2 linked regions of the Tribolium castaneum genome follow. The protein of the gene in region 1 purifies or fractionates together with the protein of each later gene. This does not show direct contact. Links are inferred from orthologs where the notes say so. Each region holds a gene or a part of one and is shown in the gene's direction. Other genes may lie near its edges.

The links.
Region 2: the proteins of RCC1-like G exchanging factor-like protein (region 1) and pseudouridylate synthase TRUB2, mitochondrial purify together in Homo sapiens (affinity purification with mass spectrometry; 3 studies listed by BioGRID and IntAct, with this or other methods). This does not show direct contact. The link is inferred for Tribolium castaneum from reciprocal best matches to the Homo sapiens genes RCC1L and TRUB2.

What each region holds. Positions count from the first base shown.
Region 1 is NC_087395.1:14,160,987-14,168,486, forward strand, and holds RCC1-like G exchanging factor-like protein, read left to right. Parts: upstream 1-3,493; 5' UTR 3,494-3,725; coding exon 3,726-4,001; intron 4,002-4,045; coding exon 4,046-5,110; 3' UTR 5,111-5,132; downstream 5,133-7,500. Other genes in the region: LMBR1 domain-containing protein 2 homolog, read right to left, coding at 225-514, 560-869, 922-1,161, 1,563-1,744, 1,795-1,972, 2,033-2,209, 2,258-2,636, 2,683-2,861 and 1 more; BBIP1 (BBSome-interacting protein 1-like), read right to left, coding at 3,085-3,273; Chs2 (chitin synthase 2), read right to left, coding at 5,141-5,313, 5,361-5,772, 6,665-7,500. UniProt on the Homo sapiens protein: Guanine nucleotide exchange factor (GEF) for mitochondrial dynamin-related GTPase OPA1. Activates OPA1, by exchanging bound GDP for free GTP, and drives OPA1 and MFN1-dependent mitochondrial fusion. Plays an essential role in mitochondrial ribosome biogenesis.
Region 2 is NC_087398.1:10,489,652-10,497,658, reverse strand, and holds pseudouridylate synthase TRUB2, mitochondrial, read left to right. Parts: upstream 1-3,483; 5' UTR 3,484-3,551; coding exon 3,552-3,672; intron 3,673-3,722; coding exon 3,723-3,914; intron 3,915-3,963; coding exon 3,964-4,180; intron 4,181-4,232; coding exon 4,233-4,369; intron 4,370-5,691; coding exon 5,692-5,939; 3' UTR 5,940-6,024; downstream 6,025-8,007. Other genes in the region: male-specific lethal 1 homolog, read left to right, coding at 1-95, 141-648, 2,286-2,410, 2,461-2,792, 2,842-2,941; actin, cytoplasmic, read right to left, coding at 6,325-6,950. UniProt on the Homo sapiens protein: Minor enzyme contributing to the isomerization of uridine to pseudouridine (pseudouridylation) of specific mitochondrial mRNAs (mt-mRNAs) such as COXI and COXIII mt-mRNAs.

The sequences.
Region 1 (7,500 bases):
TCATTATTTAGTGTTGCCAACTTGATTTAAAAATCCGACCCAGAAGAAATCGTGATTACACTGAAATAAGTTACTACCGTGAAACGTTGGACGCTAAAACCTACTATTACAAGACTTGACTATGGTGGGTTTCAGCTGAAACCTGAAAAACCAAACTGCCTTATAAACAATATAAAAATATAATTTCTCAACGCAATATAATAAACATCACTGACTTAAACAACTTAAACGTCGTCGAAAATGCCCCTCGGGGGCGCCCCCACGCGGTTTCTATAGTTACCATCCGACTGATACGAGTCGGCAAACCTCGGCTCCAGTTCCTGCGAACTGTTATACCGTTCGTTAATCCTCGTGCTGGCGCCGAACCGCGCATCGATATCGTCCTGATCCGGGGGAAACCTCGTATCGACCTCACTCGTGTACCTCCGACTCTCGTACGAGTCCAGCGGGTGCGACTCTTGCAGCAAATTTGAGCGCGTGTTGTCCAAATTTTCCAGTTGCGTCATTGGACGAACTGAAACCATCGCCTAACAATGGCCCAATAAGAAGCGCGACTTACTCGTGTCGGTGCTTCCCCGGGGCCTGTACCTCCCCGTGGTCGGGAACCGTTCACTGAATTCGGTTCGTCTCGTGCTGGCCTCCTCCGACCGCTGGCGTTTGCGTTTTTCCCGCTTGATCAATTCGCGGCCTTCTTCGATCAGGTCGGTGGTCATTTCGTCGTCGCCGACGAACTGGTGGAAACCCAGCATTGATAAAAGGCGCGAGCCGACGCTGAAATACGTCGCTAAACAAAAGACTAGAATGGCCATTGGGAAGTAAACGTTGAAGCCGTCGGAGATTATTGAAATGACGTCCATATGACCCATGATCTGGCAAAAATTCGGTTAGTTGGACCGTGGGAGAAAAAATTAAGTGGCTAACTTGGGTGTAGTGGGTCTCCATGACTTGTTTTTTTATTATGTGGCTGTCCATGTGAATTAAGCCGAGGAAATTTAAACACAGAGGAGGCGTCAGTCGGCTCAACATCATCCCTGAGAAGATTAAACTGTACTCGTTCGTTTGGTGGTGCGGTGCTAAGTAATACAAGTTGAGGAGTTTTATTTTGAGGACCGTTGAGTAAGCACAGTAGCATAAGTACAGGATTATTATGGTCGACAATAACTGTAACAATTTTTTAATTTTTAAACAATTAGCAGTCTTTAAAATAGTAAAAAAATAGTTTTAAAAGCTACACCAAAAAAATATAGGGAGTTCCGCTTAAAAAATATAAGTTTGTCTTGTAGCTAATTTCGGAAATACTAATAATTTCTTGTACACAACACAAAAAAGAAAAATACAAAACGATACATAAAAAACAACAATACAAAAAAAAAGGACAGGGCACAGAAGGAAATGTTCAGAATGTTCTTCCACATTCCCATATGAAATGTTTGTAGCTTAAGTAATAATGTTATTGTCAAGAATAAATTAACGAAACATCGATAGAAAAATTGTTTTTTATTTGATCTGAACTGTCCCGAAAACAAACGATAGCAACAATTTAAGAAAATAATGTGACTCACCTCTATCGTAAAATAGTCGTACTTGACTTTAGCTCTGTTAACAATAGCGGCAAAAATCGAGAGAACTGGCTGTTTGTTGAAAAAAGTCACTTCGGACCAAACCACAGCCACCGAAAAAAGCCCAGCCATAACAGCCAATAATTTTTGCGTGTAGCCATAAAAAAGACACTTCCAGTACCACTCTTCAACAATTGAATAAAATACACAGCCGCGTCAAATGTGACACTCTTACCAACTGTCGGGACGTACAAAAACCTCCTGAAAAGAGATCGGGGTTTTTGGAATGTGCGTTTAAATCGCTTATCTCGCGAAATCTGATTTTTGATAGTGTCCTCAAGATCGAAAATCTTCTCGACGAGAAGGTTCCACTGTGTTTCGGTTCTCTGAAACACCTGGAGCGACTTTATCGTCTGAAAGAGTGCGGCAAGCGTTTAGTCTGCGGTCCGCCTATTTGTCAAGACCAGACTCACTTGCTTGTGGAGCCTGACTAGTGCCTTTTCGCTCGGTAAATCCGTGGGGGTGTCTTCGGGGAGCTGCCTCCGGTTCATTCTGTCCCGTAATTCCGTGGGCACCTTTTGCAGAATGGTCTCCAAGTGGGCGTGCAATGGATGCCGCGAATTAATGGCCAATGAGACGGCTTGTAGCGACTAAAACAATTGAATAACTATGGAAATTCAACGAATCAGTAATGGAACCTCGAGGACATCGTCGACGGTTTCCTCGGCCTCGCACTTGTCCGAACTCAGCTTGGCGGCCTTGAAATACGAATGTGTTAGCACAAAACTGTGGTTTGAGTTGTTCCACAGAGTTCGAGGGACTTCAACTAAAGCGTATCCGAACAGCAAAACTAGGAGGAATAAGCCCCAAGTATTGCTAGCTGACGAAGCAATTGCTTTTAGTTTTGACCAGTCGAGGTGAATCCCAGGCTGGAGGGCCAAGTAAATTAGTAGAACTCCACAGATTAGCAAATAAGAGCCGTAATAAATCGCATTGTCGATTACAGCCGATTTCAATTTGCCTTTGACTGTAAAATCACCAGCTTTGATGTACGATTGCATCATGGGCATGACTAGCCTGGAATTATTGTTTTAGTTGAAATTTTGTGTGTGAAAACTTATACCAAGTTAAGCACTGAGTGCTCCAATACACAGTACGCCACAAGTTCGGAAAAACCTCATGAGGGACTCGACTCCACGGCTCCTCACACTTTTCAATACTTTTATTTGTAACATTTTGCATCAGTGAAGAAGTGGCGTTGTCAAAAGTGTCATGTTCTTCCTTACACTGGCGGTAAACCGTCTAGGAACAAATCTGTGATTGACTGAAACTGACTATTGGTCACTCACCGAAATTACGTCCAACGGAAGCGCGAAAATAATCAAGAAACTGAAATACCAAGCAAGAAGCACAATCAAGGTCACCACAATGTGGTGCCTGAACCAGTTCCCATATCGGTACAAGACCGTCGAGGCAAGAATAAAAGAGAGCAAAATTTTCGAAATCAGCGGCCCGTAATTCATTTTTACTCGTCTTTGGGACTCTGCTGGGATTGCGATTTTTGGGCCTCTTGTTGCATTTTCTCCAATTTTTCCAAAGTGAAACTCTTAAGGGGGATCAGACGGGGTTTGCACAACACCAAGTCCTGGATGTCTTCAATGATGATTTGTCCTTTCTTAGGCAAAATCGGTTTTGGTTTTTCCACACTGGACATTGTCACTAAATGACATCACAACATAGTCATCAATATCGATCGTCCAAGTAATTAGAGATTTCCTGTGGCCGGAAAATTAATCCGCACGTGAAAATTCCGAAAATATTGAACCTTCACACACACACACACGAAACGTCACTTTGACAAGTGTCAGTTGGCAATGTGGCCAATATTGATTACTGGGTTATCACCAATAATTTGCGCCAATTTTCGCCCAAATCATCACATTTGACTTAATTATTAACTGGTATTGTGTGTCCGTGTCGAAATTGGGATTATTAGAATAGATATCAAAATTTTTCGTGAAATACACATGGGTTTGCGTTTCTCCGATTGGCGACAATTCGTCAAGGATGTCGGTATAGCCACCAACCATAGAATCCACCAACATTGCGCGATCTTCAGCTGACTTCACGCAAGTAAAAAAAAGTGGGGTTAATAACAACAAAAACATGTTAAATCACTTGAAACGGGTGATTTATCTCGAAAAATGCCCCCGTGGACGCTTCATGTCTGTAAAACGCAAATACCCCATCGATCGCGACGAGGCAAAATCACTGCCTGTCTTTGACTACGGTACTAGTAAAAAGTCGTACAAACGAGTGTTTGTTTGGGGCAACCTTATGTCGGGGGCCTTAGGTATTCCGTATTTGAGACGCAACGAAAATGTCATGCATCGGGAGACAGTAGACATCCCAAAGCGGCTAGGTTTTGCTGAAAAATTCCCAGTACGTTGTTCCCGCAAGTTTCAATATTTTAATGAAAGTTGCAGGTGACTACTGCCGCTTGTGGCTTCGGTTTCACCGCGTTTGGTGTTGATACCGAATCTGAAGATAAATTGTACGGAACGGGCCTTAATACCGACTCACAAATTGGAAGACATGAAGTGCGTCAAGGGCACCCTTTGGAGATTATTTACTTCCCGCAGGCCATTAAACTACCTTTAAAAAACCCAACCAAAACTCGGATACGAAAGTTAGCGGCGGGGCGTGCACATCTCGTGGTGTTAACAGACGAGGGACTCTTCCTCCTAGGCAATAACGCCTACGGCCAGTGCGGGCGCGAAATCATCCAAGACGAAAATTATTTTTTAAGTAATTACATAAACCACATTCCTGATATAGACAGTAAGAAAGTAACCGACATTGAATGTGGTCAAGACCACACTTTGGCCGTAACTGACGACGGGGCTGTGTATTCCTGCGGGTGGGGGGCTGACGGCCAAACGGGCCTCGGCACGTTTGACAACACAAGTGCCTTCACGAGAATCACGGGCGAGATTGAGTCCGAAAAAATAGTCAAAATATCGTCGCGATCCGACTTCGCGTTGGCCCTTAATGACAGGGGCGAAGTCTTCGGCTGGGGCAACGCTGAGTACGACCAGATCCCCACAATAAACAACGAGCAACAAGTGAGCAACCCAGTCCACCTCAAGCACCTGAAAGTGGGCAAAGTCGTGGATGTGGCAGCCGGGGGCTCATTTTGCCTCGCTTTGAACGAACACGGGGAGGTTTTCGTGTGGGGCTACGGTCTAGTCCTCGGGGGGCCCAAGGCCGAGCAAACCTCCCGCCCGAGGAAACTCCCCGAGGTTTTGTTCGGCAGGAACGACTTTCAACCTAACAACAGGGTGGTACAAGTGGCTTGTGGGTTGAGCTACGCCATGGCTGTGACGAGTCTGGGGGATGTTTACGCGTGGGGGCGCAACATGAGGGGCTGTCTGGGGCTGGGGTTCGCCAACGACCAGAACTTCCCGTTTAAAGTGGCGCTAGGGGGCTACGCGTCGAAGGTGTTTTGCGGGTATGACCACACGGTGGCACTTTGTAAACCTTTTATTTAATAAATTTAAGAGTAAAAAATAATTTCAATTTTATGCCTCCACGTCTGACCCGTTTTCGTCAAAAACGAAATTTTCGTTGGCTTTTCCATTGGGGTACCGTAACTGCACACTAGGCCGGGCTTGTGACACCCGATTTGGGGCTATGCTCATTCTTTGTTGGACGTAAGCAAGGCTTTTCTTCCTAAAGGCGCTAATGCTCGGGTCTAAAAAATAAATCAGTGATGGTTTCGCCCACAAATTGGTGACTTACTGTTGCTTGAAGTGCTCCCTATTTGAGTGACTCGCCTTTGGAACGCTTCATCCAAATAAAATATGGGCTTGTTCTCACCACCACCGCTCGTTTGCGCCAAATTACTTACTGTTTTTCGCATTTCGACCGGAACTTCCGTTTGGTCCTCGTATTCGTTGTTTATACCTTTTAGTTTTTGTAAATCTGCGACTATTTTTATAGGGTCGCGGGACCTGAGTTCGTCCACAGTCATTTCGTCGATTGGTTTGCTGCACAGATCGAAGTCTAATTGTGTTTTTGTGATGATTTGGGAGAAGGTGCCGAAGCGGTGGATCATCATTGCGAAGAACTGGATCACCATAAGCAGGGCGAAAAATATGAGGAACACGAAACCGATGGGCTCCAGCTGGAGGTATGTTATGTAAACGCCAATCTGAAAATTTTGATCAGTAATGTGCGAATTTATTATTAAAAATTCTGAAGCAATGTACATTACATTGTCATCTAAAAACTGAAAACGCTCCAACCCTGAAAATATTACATTTTGTCGCGAAATATTTTAAAATGAACATTATGTGGCTATTGTGACTTACATATTTGAGGCAAGAGGCAAATACATATAAAAAATAATAATAAACAGATACGGTTTCTATGAAACTTCCTATGTTATCTCCTTTATCAATTAAAATTTATATGATGGGCCATATGAATAAAGATGAAGTACTTACTTGGAGAAAAAAGTAGAAGCTTTAATTAGCATGAATAATAAATTCTTGCTTTTACTTCGGAGTAAAGCTTTAGTTTTTTGGAGAATATGGTTTAAAAATAAATCAATGTAGTAAAGTTTTCAATGCGATAATTTTTTAAAGGGATGTTATTTCTTTCAATTAAAATTGTTTCTACGAGTAACATGTGAAATGTGTCGTATAATCTGCCCTCTTCGAAAGATATTATTTAAGTTTAGGCTGTTTTTCAATATTATTTTTGTTGTCATTTTTACATCGAATACTTTCCAGTGTTATATAAAACAAAGTAGCAAATAATTATTTAATGAATTTCCTATTTAGATCTTTTTCGGATGTTGACTTTTGGGAAAGCACTAAAACCCTGTTTTTTCATGTGCCCAATTTTTGATGGTCTACAGATATTTGGGTACTTCTGGAGTGAATAAAAATTAATGCTTTTTGAAGGGTTTTAGACCTTTCTTTAATGAATGAAAACTTTCTTTATGAATTATTAAAATTCACGTAATAACTGTAGAGCGGAAACAACTTCAATAATGGTGTATTCTATCTCATTTAACAAAAACCAAACAGTGCGCTTACCTCATTTTTGTCCTCGAAATACGTGAAGTTCACTTTGGGGTCAAACGGCCAGTCCAGATGGAGCAAATCCTTCTTCAAAGTGAGCAAAAAAATCACAATAACGTAGAGCGAATTCAACATCAGGAAAGTAAACACCATTTTGTCCCTCAAATCTTTCAATTCAGCCGAAACCTTCTTCTTGTCATCCTCAATCGGGTGTAAATACTGCTCTATCAGTTCATTCCAAAACGTTTCCTCATTCCTATTCAAGTAATGCACTTCCCCCCTAATCAAAGGCCCATCGTAGAACCAACTATTCTCCATGACCTCATCCGACGGTTGCGAAACATTGTCTTGCGGAGCCTCCATGTAGTTATCCTCCACGTTGTTCTTAACCGTCGCCTTTGAGCCCTCCATGAACGTTGTAACGTTGCTAACGGCAGGAGACCTCAAATCCGGATATTGCATTTTTTCCAGCGACTCGATTTTCCTATTCAAGTCTCTCAACGACTCTTGTATTTTCCTCAACTGCTCGTTTTCCTTGTTATCGGCCTTGTACGTACAAATCATGCATTTGAAAAGTTTGTTGACCGAAAATTCAAGCCCGCCTTCGTCGTCCTGGGCATTCGCGCCCAGAAACGTCAAAACTTTGTCTTTCTTCTCCGGTTTTTTCTCTTCGATTTTCTGGACGGCGTTGGGGTCAGGCTTGGGCACGACTGTCACTTCGCGCGTCCCCCAGGACACGTTGTTCATATTGAAGACCGAGTAGATGACTAGGAGGAGGTACATGCTGGGGACCGTGACGTAGTAAATGACCCCGTATTTCAAACAGTTGAATTCTTGCGGATGCAGCAGTG
Region 2 (8,007 bases), on another chromosome or scaffold:
GGCTGATTCTCCATCTCGACCTCATCCAGCAACAAAGCGATGAAATTCTAAACAAGGAGAGAACAATCCTCATTCTGCAACAAGAGAATGAAATGGTAAGTTTGGCCGAATCGTTTCGCATTTAACAGATTTGGTCGCAGCTTAAGGAGCGCATAAGTTGTATGGAACGCGGGGCCCCGTTCCACCCCAACAAGTTCTACAATAACCACTCCACGTCGTTTCTGGACGAAGGGCTAGATATGACTCAGGATTCGAGTCCCTGCGACGAAGACAACAAAAATTGTTTGGACCTTTTGGACTTGAACTGTGAGAACGGCACCTGTCCGCCGCTCAAACTTGCCAAATTCGAACAAAACAGCGACGGCGAATCTCAAACCGGAAATCCTTCCATAGACAATAAGTTTGATTCTCAGGTTAACTATCATAAAATTAGTGACAAATTGAAAAGTGAGAGTGAAATCGTAACAGATTGTAACAGTGCTAGTGCCGGCTTTGACTTTACGGTTAATTCGGGGGAATTCGACCCAATGAGAAATTTAAGAATGAGTATTAGGAGGAAACGGTTAAGTAATTCGTCAGCGGTCTCAAATAACGACTCAGTGTTAGACGACAAAAGGTCCTTTCGGAAATTCAAAAAACGGCACAAACGTTAGTATCATCCGGGGCTTGATCGATGAAAGGAGTTTTGCTTTACCTCAGGAGGGAGCCACGTTAGGGGAAAGCAATTCTGACGTCCTGACATTATGAAATATTTAATGAAGTTTACAGTTTTTTTATGCTTTTCTTGCCTCATTCGACCCAAAAATCACCCCTTTGGCTTAATTCGCAGATTTTTTTTCTTGATTATCAAGTATTTATGGATACAGTGTATCCCGTGAGCAGTTTGTTTGCAGCACAAACGCAAGGAGTGCTGCATGAATTACAAATGTAGAAAATTGCTTTCTAAATGAGTTACCTACAATATTTTTTGTAACCAATAACTCAAAAACAGGTTAAACTAGTAAAATTTAAATTTCTGTTACTCATCGTTAAAAAATCATCGTTTCAGTGTCAGCAAGGGTAGCGATACCAACCCAATAAATGTTGCGTCCTACCGAAGATAACCAGAAAATAACTGTTGAAGAGTTATTTACATTCTTGTATGGTAACTTACACTTTATAAGACGAAATTAATTAACATTAATAGCATTAGTGTGCAACGAAATCTTCCTTTAAATAAGATTAGTATGAAAATGAAGATTTAAACGTTCTGAATCCAGATTTGCTTTCAGTTTTTTGCTGAAATAGTACAGATTTTTTAAATGATTTTTTAATTTCTCACAATATATTTTTTTTTGCTTCGTTATTGTATTTACTCTACTTTAATCCATTTAAATCGTATCTGTTTTGTATATTTGGGTGCGTAATTTAAAATAATGTGGCGAAAAACGTAGAACTGTTAATTACAATTATTACATTTTATTATAATGTTATTATCTTTTTTAATAATAAAAGTAGTAGTACTTTCCGCAAAGCAATCAACTAACAGTTTAATATAATGAACAAATTCTAAAGGAGGTTCCTACTTGTTTTTAAATTATTGCAATCGCTTTTTTATTATAAAATTTCTTCTGTTTTCTAAGTGAGAATTCCGAAATTGAAAAAGTAAAAAATCTAAAGCGTTTTAAGCACTTGAATTTTAATTTGATTTAGACTAAATAAATGTAAATTAATAAAGTGACCAAAAATTATATAGCTTTTATAAAACTGGATAAATTTTAAAATAATAAAACCTGACCCTACCCGAACCGAATTGACCTGACCTGACTTTATCTTGTAAACTTTCAGTTGATGGAAAGATAGAAAAACTGAGAACAGAATTTTTTGTCATAGGAACTTTTAATTCAGTTTGATGTCTTTTATCAGCACCCGAGAGATTGTCCGATGCTTTTGAATCATCCTGTATATATATATATATATATATTTATTTGAGGCGTGAATCAGACCTCAAAAATATAACAACCATCACTAGATGGCACCATTCTAGTCAGAGTTAAAAGCTTAAAAAATAAGTAATTTTAGTTATTTATTAATTAAATAAATGTGTAAAATAGCGTTTCAGTAACTGAGTTTTATTTTATGGATGTATTTTATAAATGTGTCTAAATGGCACTTTTGGCCATGGGTACGTGATTTTTAAAACAGAGTGGTTTAATTTGGTAACAGAAGAACGTCTTAAAAAAACGAAACTTCTTTCATTGATCACAGAAAATGTGATTGAATCGAATTAAGCAAAAACGTTTCAGGTATTCTGAAAGATTCTCAAATTTTGACCACAACCGATCAGTACATTACTGAAGCCGGTCGAACAAATTTGAGGCTGTCGAACGTTACAGACATGCAAGAAATTCCAAACAATACGAATTTGGAGGTAATAATCAGGTCAAAATTTCAGTCTTTTTAAATTTGAAAGTGTTGTAGGTGCCCCGCTGGAGGGTTAAAGTGTACGCTAGTTGTTACGCAATGGAAGGGACTGAAAATTTAGACGATGAAGTCTACAACAAAAGACACAGTCGGTTGGAAAACGACGAACGTAGGAGAAAGCGATGGGACGTTCAAAGGATAAGAGAACAGCGGGTAATAGAAAAATTGAAGCAGAGACAGGAAAGAATGGGTTCGGGGTCTCGGACGGATGAACAAATCGAGTCCGTGCTGTCTCTTTGGCCCACTTTAGACAACATTAAATATCTGGAAGTCTCTGATCAGCTGCCAGTGGCGGCCTTTGGCTCACCTATTCCCAAAATAGCCCCCAGGTACCTATGACCTGATCACACTGAATTTTTCTCGACTTTGTTTTTTTAGTGAATTTAGTTTGCCATGGTTGGCTAACCCTGCGCTAATCACGAATAAGAGAGGGTCAACAAAACGAACAACAGTGAGAAAGAAAAACTCAAAGAGATAAGTATTATGTCAACAACCGAAATAAAATTTTAGTCAAGCACCACTGCCTGATGTTTTTGTAAATAAAAATAAATTATGAAGTGGTGGAATGAACGAAAATGTGATTTTATGAATACATACAGGTTATTTGTAAATTGAAACAATCTCATTACATGACAGTTTGTAAAGTATTTATTTAGGTTGTAAGCTTACTTTTGGAGTAGATTACTAGGCGCCGTAATACCAATTTAGGACTCCATATTAGGGTTTTAGGTTGCGAATTTTAATTTTTAAGTAATGTAATATTGTGATATCGGAATTGTTATGTCCATAGATTTCCTGATAATGATATTAATTTACAAATAATGAATCATATATTTTTAGTTGAAGCGCGTTAAATAAATAAATGTATTAGTTGTACTTATTTGTGTATCAGTCACTGTATTTAAATATACACAATTTTTTCGAATCATTTTGCTTATGCCCTCAAGAAAAAAAAATGGTCCTGACCAGGGATTGAACCTCAGACGCGGTCGGAAAAATTACACATCACGGCCTTACACTTCTTTGACGCGAGGTGGCAGCACCATAGTTATTTTAAATACTAACCTAACTTTTACGTAAACATAAAAATGTTAATAAAAGACGCCCCCGTGATTTGGGAGGGTCTCCGGTCCATTATTTGTGTTTACAAGCCTCCTAGTGTAACATGTGAACGCGTACGCAAAACTATCATTGCCGCTGTTTGTAAAGGTTAGGTTAAGCTAGCCCCCTTATTCCGATAATTTTGCACAGAATTATAGGTTTAAATGAGATGGAGTGTCGCCCTCCAGTTGATTTCGTTTGTATTGAAGGAAATCCATCGGGAAAATTAACCGTATCTGTAAAACCAAGTCTCGCCGATGACCCTCTTGTTGTGGGACCTCGTTACATCCACGATGATTTAAAATGTAGTTGGTCGAATTTTTTAGGTTTTAATACGAGCGGAGTGCTTTGTAATATGTTAAAGACACAAGTGATAAATAAATTAACTGTTTATTTTAGTGTTAGGATTAGGGAAAGGCACCAAAGTAGCGAAATTGATAAGAGAGAACAGACCCACTAGGTGTTACCGATTGTCCGGAAAATTGGGCGAAGCGACCGATAACGCCTTTAAGGACGGGAAAGTTGTGGAAAGGACAACCTGGAGACACGTTAAACTAGAAAATATGAATAGGTTTTTAGCAACACTTCAAGCTTCACACCAAAAAGAAATGTTTAAGTATGTTTATTGATTGAGAATGAGCAGCATTTCTTTCATTTAACTAAACTAGGTCATGTGGCATTGATTTGCAATCAGAGGAGGCCTATAAATTGGCTTGTCAGGGACCCATCAGGCCTGCCAACTCAAAACTTCCAGTCATTTACGGAATTAAATGTGTTAAATTTGAACCCCCAGAGTTCGTCATTGGTAAGAGATACAATCAGCCTCCTTGATGGTTCAAAGGTTTTAAAATTATAACATTTTTTTATAATCAACTGTTAAAGAACCATCAGGTTTTTGAATAAAGGTTGGTGCCATTTTCAATTTAAAAATCTCAAAACCATGGCCTCCTTGATGTATTGAGACAACTTCGTTGTTCAGGCCTGGCGCATCGTTAAGTTCGGCTGATTCTCCACTGGCGCTGCATTTAGCGGACTGACGCTTGTTTGACAAATATCATTTTTGAGGTTAAAGACAAATAAATTTGAAAGATGTAAGTATGCATTCGTGAAATACGTTGAAAATGTGAGGATAATTCTAAAGTTATGCCCTGAATGAACGTTTGGATAGTGTAACTCTTGCAGGAAGTCATTTTACGATCATTAGGATTTTTTATTTTCAGCTTCAGAAGATATACAAATTATTTTAGGGTGAATTGATTGTTCATCGTTTATAAGTATTTTAAGCATAACCTACGGCACTAGTACGCAGACACAGATGCAGAGAAAACGATGTTTCAAAGTACCTTCCATTTATTATGCATATTCTATGGTTTTACCAATGGTTAAGGTTGAATGCGTTACAAATCTGTGATATTTAAGACATGGCTTAAGTTTTCTAAAATGTATTTGCAACCTTTTAACCAGCAGATATTTGCAATACATTGTTTAAGCAAATGAAACTATTTTGCACACACGTATTTTCAAAACCTGCTATTGTTAATTTAGTTTTAGTAAAATGTACAAAGAAAATCGTTTTTTCAAATAAAATGGTTAAAAAAAGCTCGATCCAGCGTTCTTCTGCTGCGTTACTCTCTGCTGGAGTGTCTATGAACCGTTCGTTCCAAAGTCCCTGTCTGGACCTCTGCTCACTCCCACGCACCGCTCGTGGATCACCAAACTCCCGAAAAAAATCTACTACTTTATTAATTTTTTTGAGTTTTTGTACTTAGAAATTATCAATTACATTGTGGGCTCTTTTTCACCTTCTCTTCTGCTAATTGTACTTGTTAAATTCAATTTTTTTTCGGATTTAACCTCACAAATGCTATTTGTCAGATAAACGTCAGTGCGCTAAATAGGGCGCCATCTACGGTTTCGAAAAAACCGCTGAAGCTTATTGATGCGCCAGGCCTGAACAACGAAGTTGTCTCCATACATCAAGGAGGCCATGCTCAAAACTTTTCATGAATTACATCACAGTTGATTATAAAAAAATGAACTGTAACTACACCACGTGAAGTTAGCAATTTTCCTTATCCCTCAGGGAGGCTAATTACTAAAGCTAAAATAAATTAATACTTCTCGTAGAAATACAATGCATAAATGAATATGAAACTTACCTGAGAAGTTTAATACATGAAATTGGGATGAAATTACATTCTTCAGCGCATTGTACGGCAATTCAGTGCATCAGACATAGTTATTTTACTGTAGAAAATGCACTTTTGCGCAAACACTGGACTTTGCAGGACATTATTACAAACATGGAACAATGTATACAGATTATGGATGAACACGAAAATATTATCAGACAAAAGTCGGCAGCTTTACAGTAGTTTATTCAATTGTCTTCTGTAAAAATCATTTATTTTACGTTAAATTTGTTTGTTTTGTCAAAAAATAAAATATCCAAAGCAGTAAGATATGATTTTATCCTACATAAAAGTCACCAAAGTTTTATATTATAGTATTATAGTATAAATATACCATAATATAACATAATAATAATATATAATATGAAAACATTAATTTTTTAATTTTAATTGAGCAACTTTTTTGTGTTGGGTTTTAATATTTTATGTTGGACGGGTTAAAAATACTTTGAACATTTTACGATATTTATTGATGTTTACACAGCACCATTTTTTACAAAATGATTTGTCGTTTATTAACAAAAGTATTGTATTCTAGTTTTGATAAATAATTTTTTTTCATTATACATTAGAAGCACTTTCGATGAACGATAACAGGTCCGCACTCATCATATTCATCCTTCGAGATCCACATTTGTTGAAACGTCGTCAGACTCGCCAGAATACTTCCCCCAATCCAAACCGAATATTTTCTCTCAGGCGGTGCGATAATTTTAATTTTCATTGAAGCCGGCGCTAGGGCAGCTATCTCCTTCTGAATCCTATCGGCCATCCCCAAAAACATTGTACTTCCTCCAGAGAGCACAATATTAGCATAAAGATCCTTCCTTATATCCATGTCAGACCTCATAATCGAATTATAAGTGGTTTCGTGAATTCCTGTTGTTTCCATTCCCAGAAAAGTCGGTTGAAACATAGCTTCCGGGCACCGGAAACGTTCATTCCCGATTGTTATGATTTGTCCATCTGGCAATTCGTAACTTTTCTCAAAATTGTTCATAGTTCTCGCGAGTGCGAGGTCTCGTTCAAAATCCAAAGCTACGAAGCAGATTTTCTCCTTCAAATCGCGGATTATTTCGCGCTCTGCGGTCGTCGTGAAACTGTAACCGCGTTCGGTTAGGATTTTCATCAAGTAATCGGTTAGGTCGCGTCCGGCGAGGTCCATCCGCAAGATTGCGTGCGGGATGGCATAACCTGGGGGAAAAAGTTTTGCATTACTGTAATTAATTCATATCGAAAAGAAAATAACTATAAATTTAGCATGATCGTTGGTAATTGTAATTGAGAATAGGGCCTCAACCATTTTTTTAAAGCAATATTAAATACAAAAAAAAATCATACAAAAGTTTGACATAATATGCTAAACGATCTGAAGATGTCGTCTCCAGAAAACGAACCCCTGCTATTTCTGTCGTCCCTCTGGCCGCAACCGTTGCCAGCAATAAATCATTATCGCCTCGTAAACTTGAAAATACTCTGGGAGAAATTTGGCGACTTTATGTAATTAATCAATTTGTGAATGTTAAAAAAAACAATTAACAAACTGACGTGGAATTATTATGATGTTAACGAAAATATTGAATAAGTATTCCAAAAAAAATTTTAATTTTTGTAACAAAATCTAAAGGAATTTAAAGAAGCATTAAATTAAATGTTGTTTATGATGAGCTAGTTACTACGGATTTGCTGAGAAACATTTCACATTCTAAACAAGTTTTGATTTAATGCTCTTTTAAATTCGATTATTAAATTGGCCCTTAATTATTTAAAAAATATTAATGTTAATAAAGTAAAAAATGTTAAAATTTAATTAATCGAAATTTTGAGGGTAGCAACTATTTTATTAAAATTTTTATTTAAAACATCATTTAAGCTCTGTTGATTCAGAAATACACTATTGAAATTGTACAATTAATTAATTAATTAATTAATAATATTTTTTTATAATTTTTTTTCTAAGTGGGTCTTATAAATTGAGAACCAAACTAGTGAAGGATATTTAAGATAAGATATGACAAAAAAATAGAAAAGCGCTTCTAATAATTATAAATCCTAACATTCTGTGAGACTTTGAAATGATATCTTCTATATGATAAATAAAAGAAAATTTTTAATCAAACGTTGTGCCTAAACCTTTTATTTTTTCTAGTACTCGTAATGGATTATTATCGTTGTTATAGTTGTGCTTTAAGATACGTGTGTTGTTTGTAAAACGAACCATAAAACATTTTGTAAAATTAAGTGTAAGTTT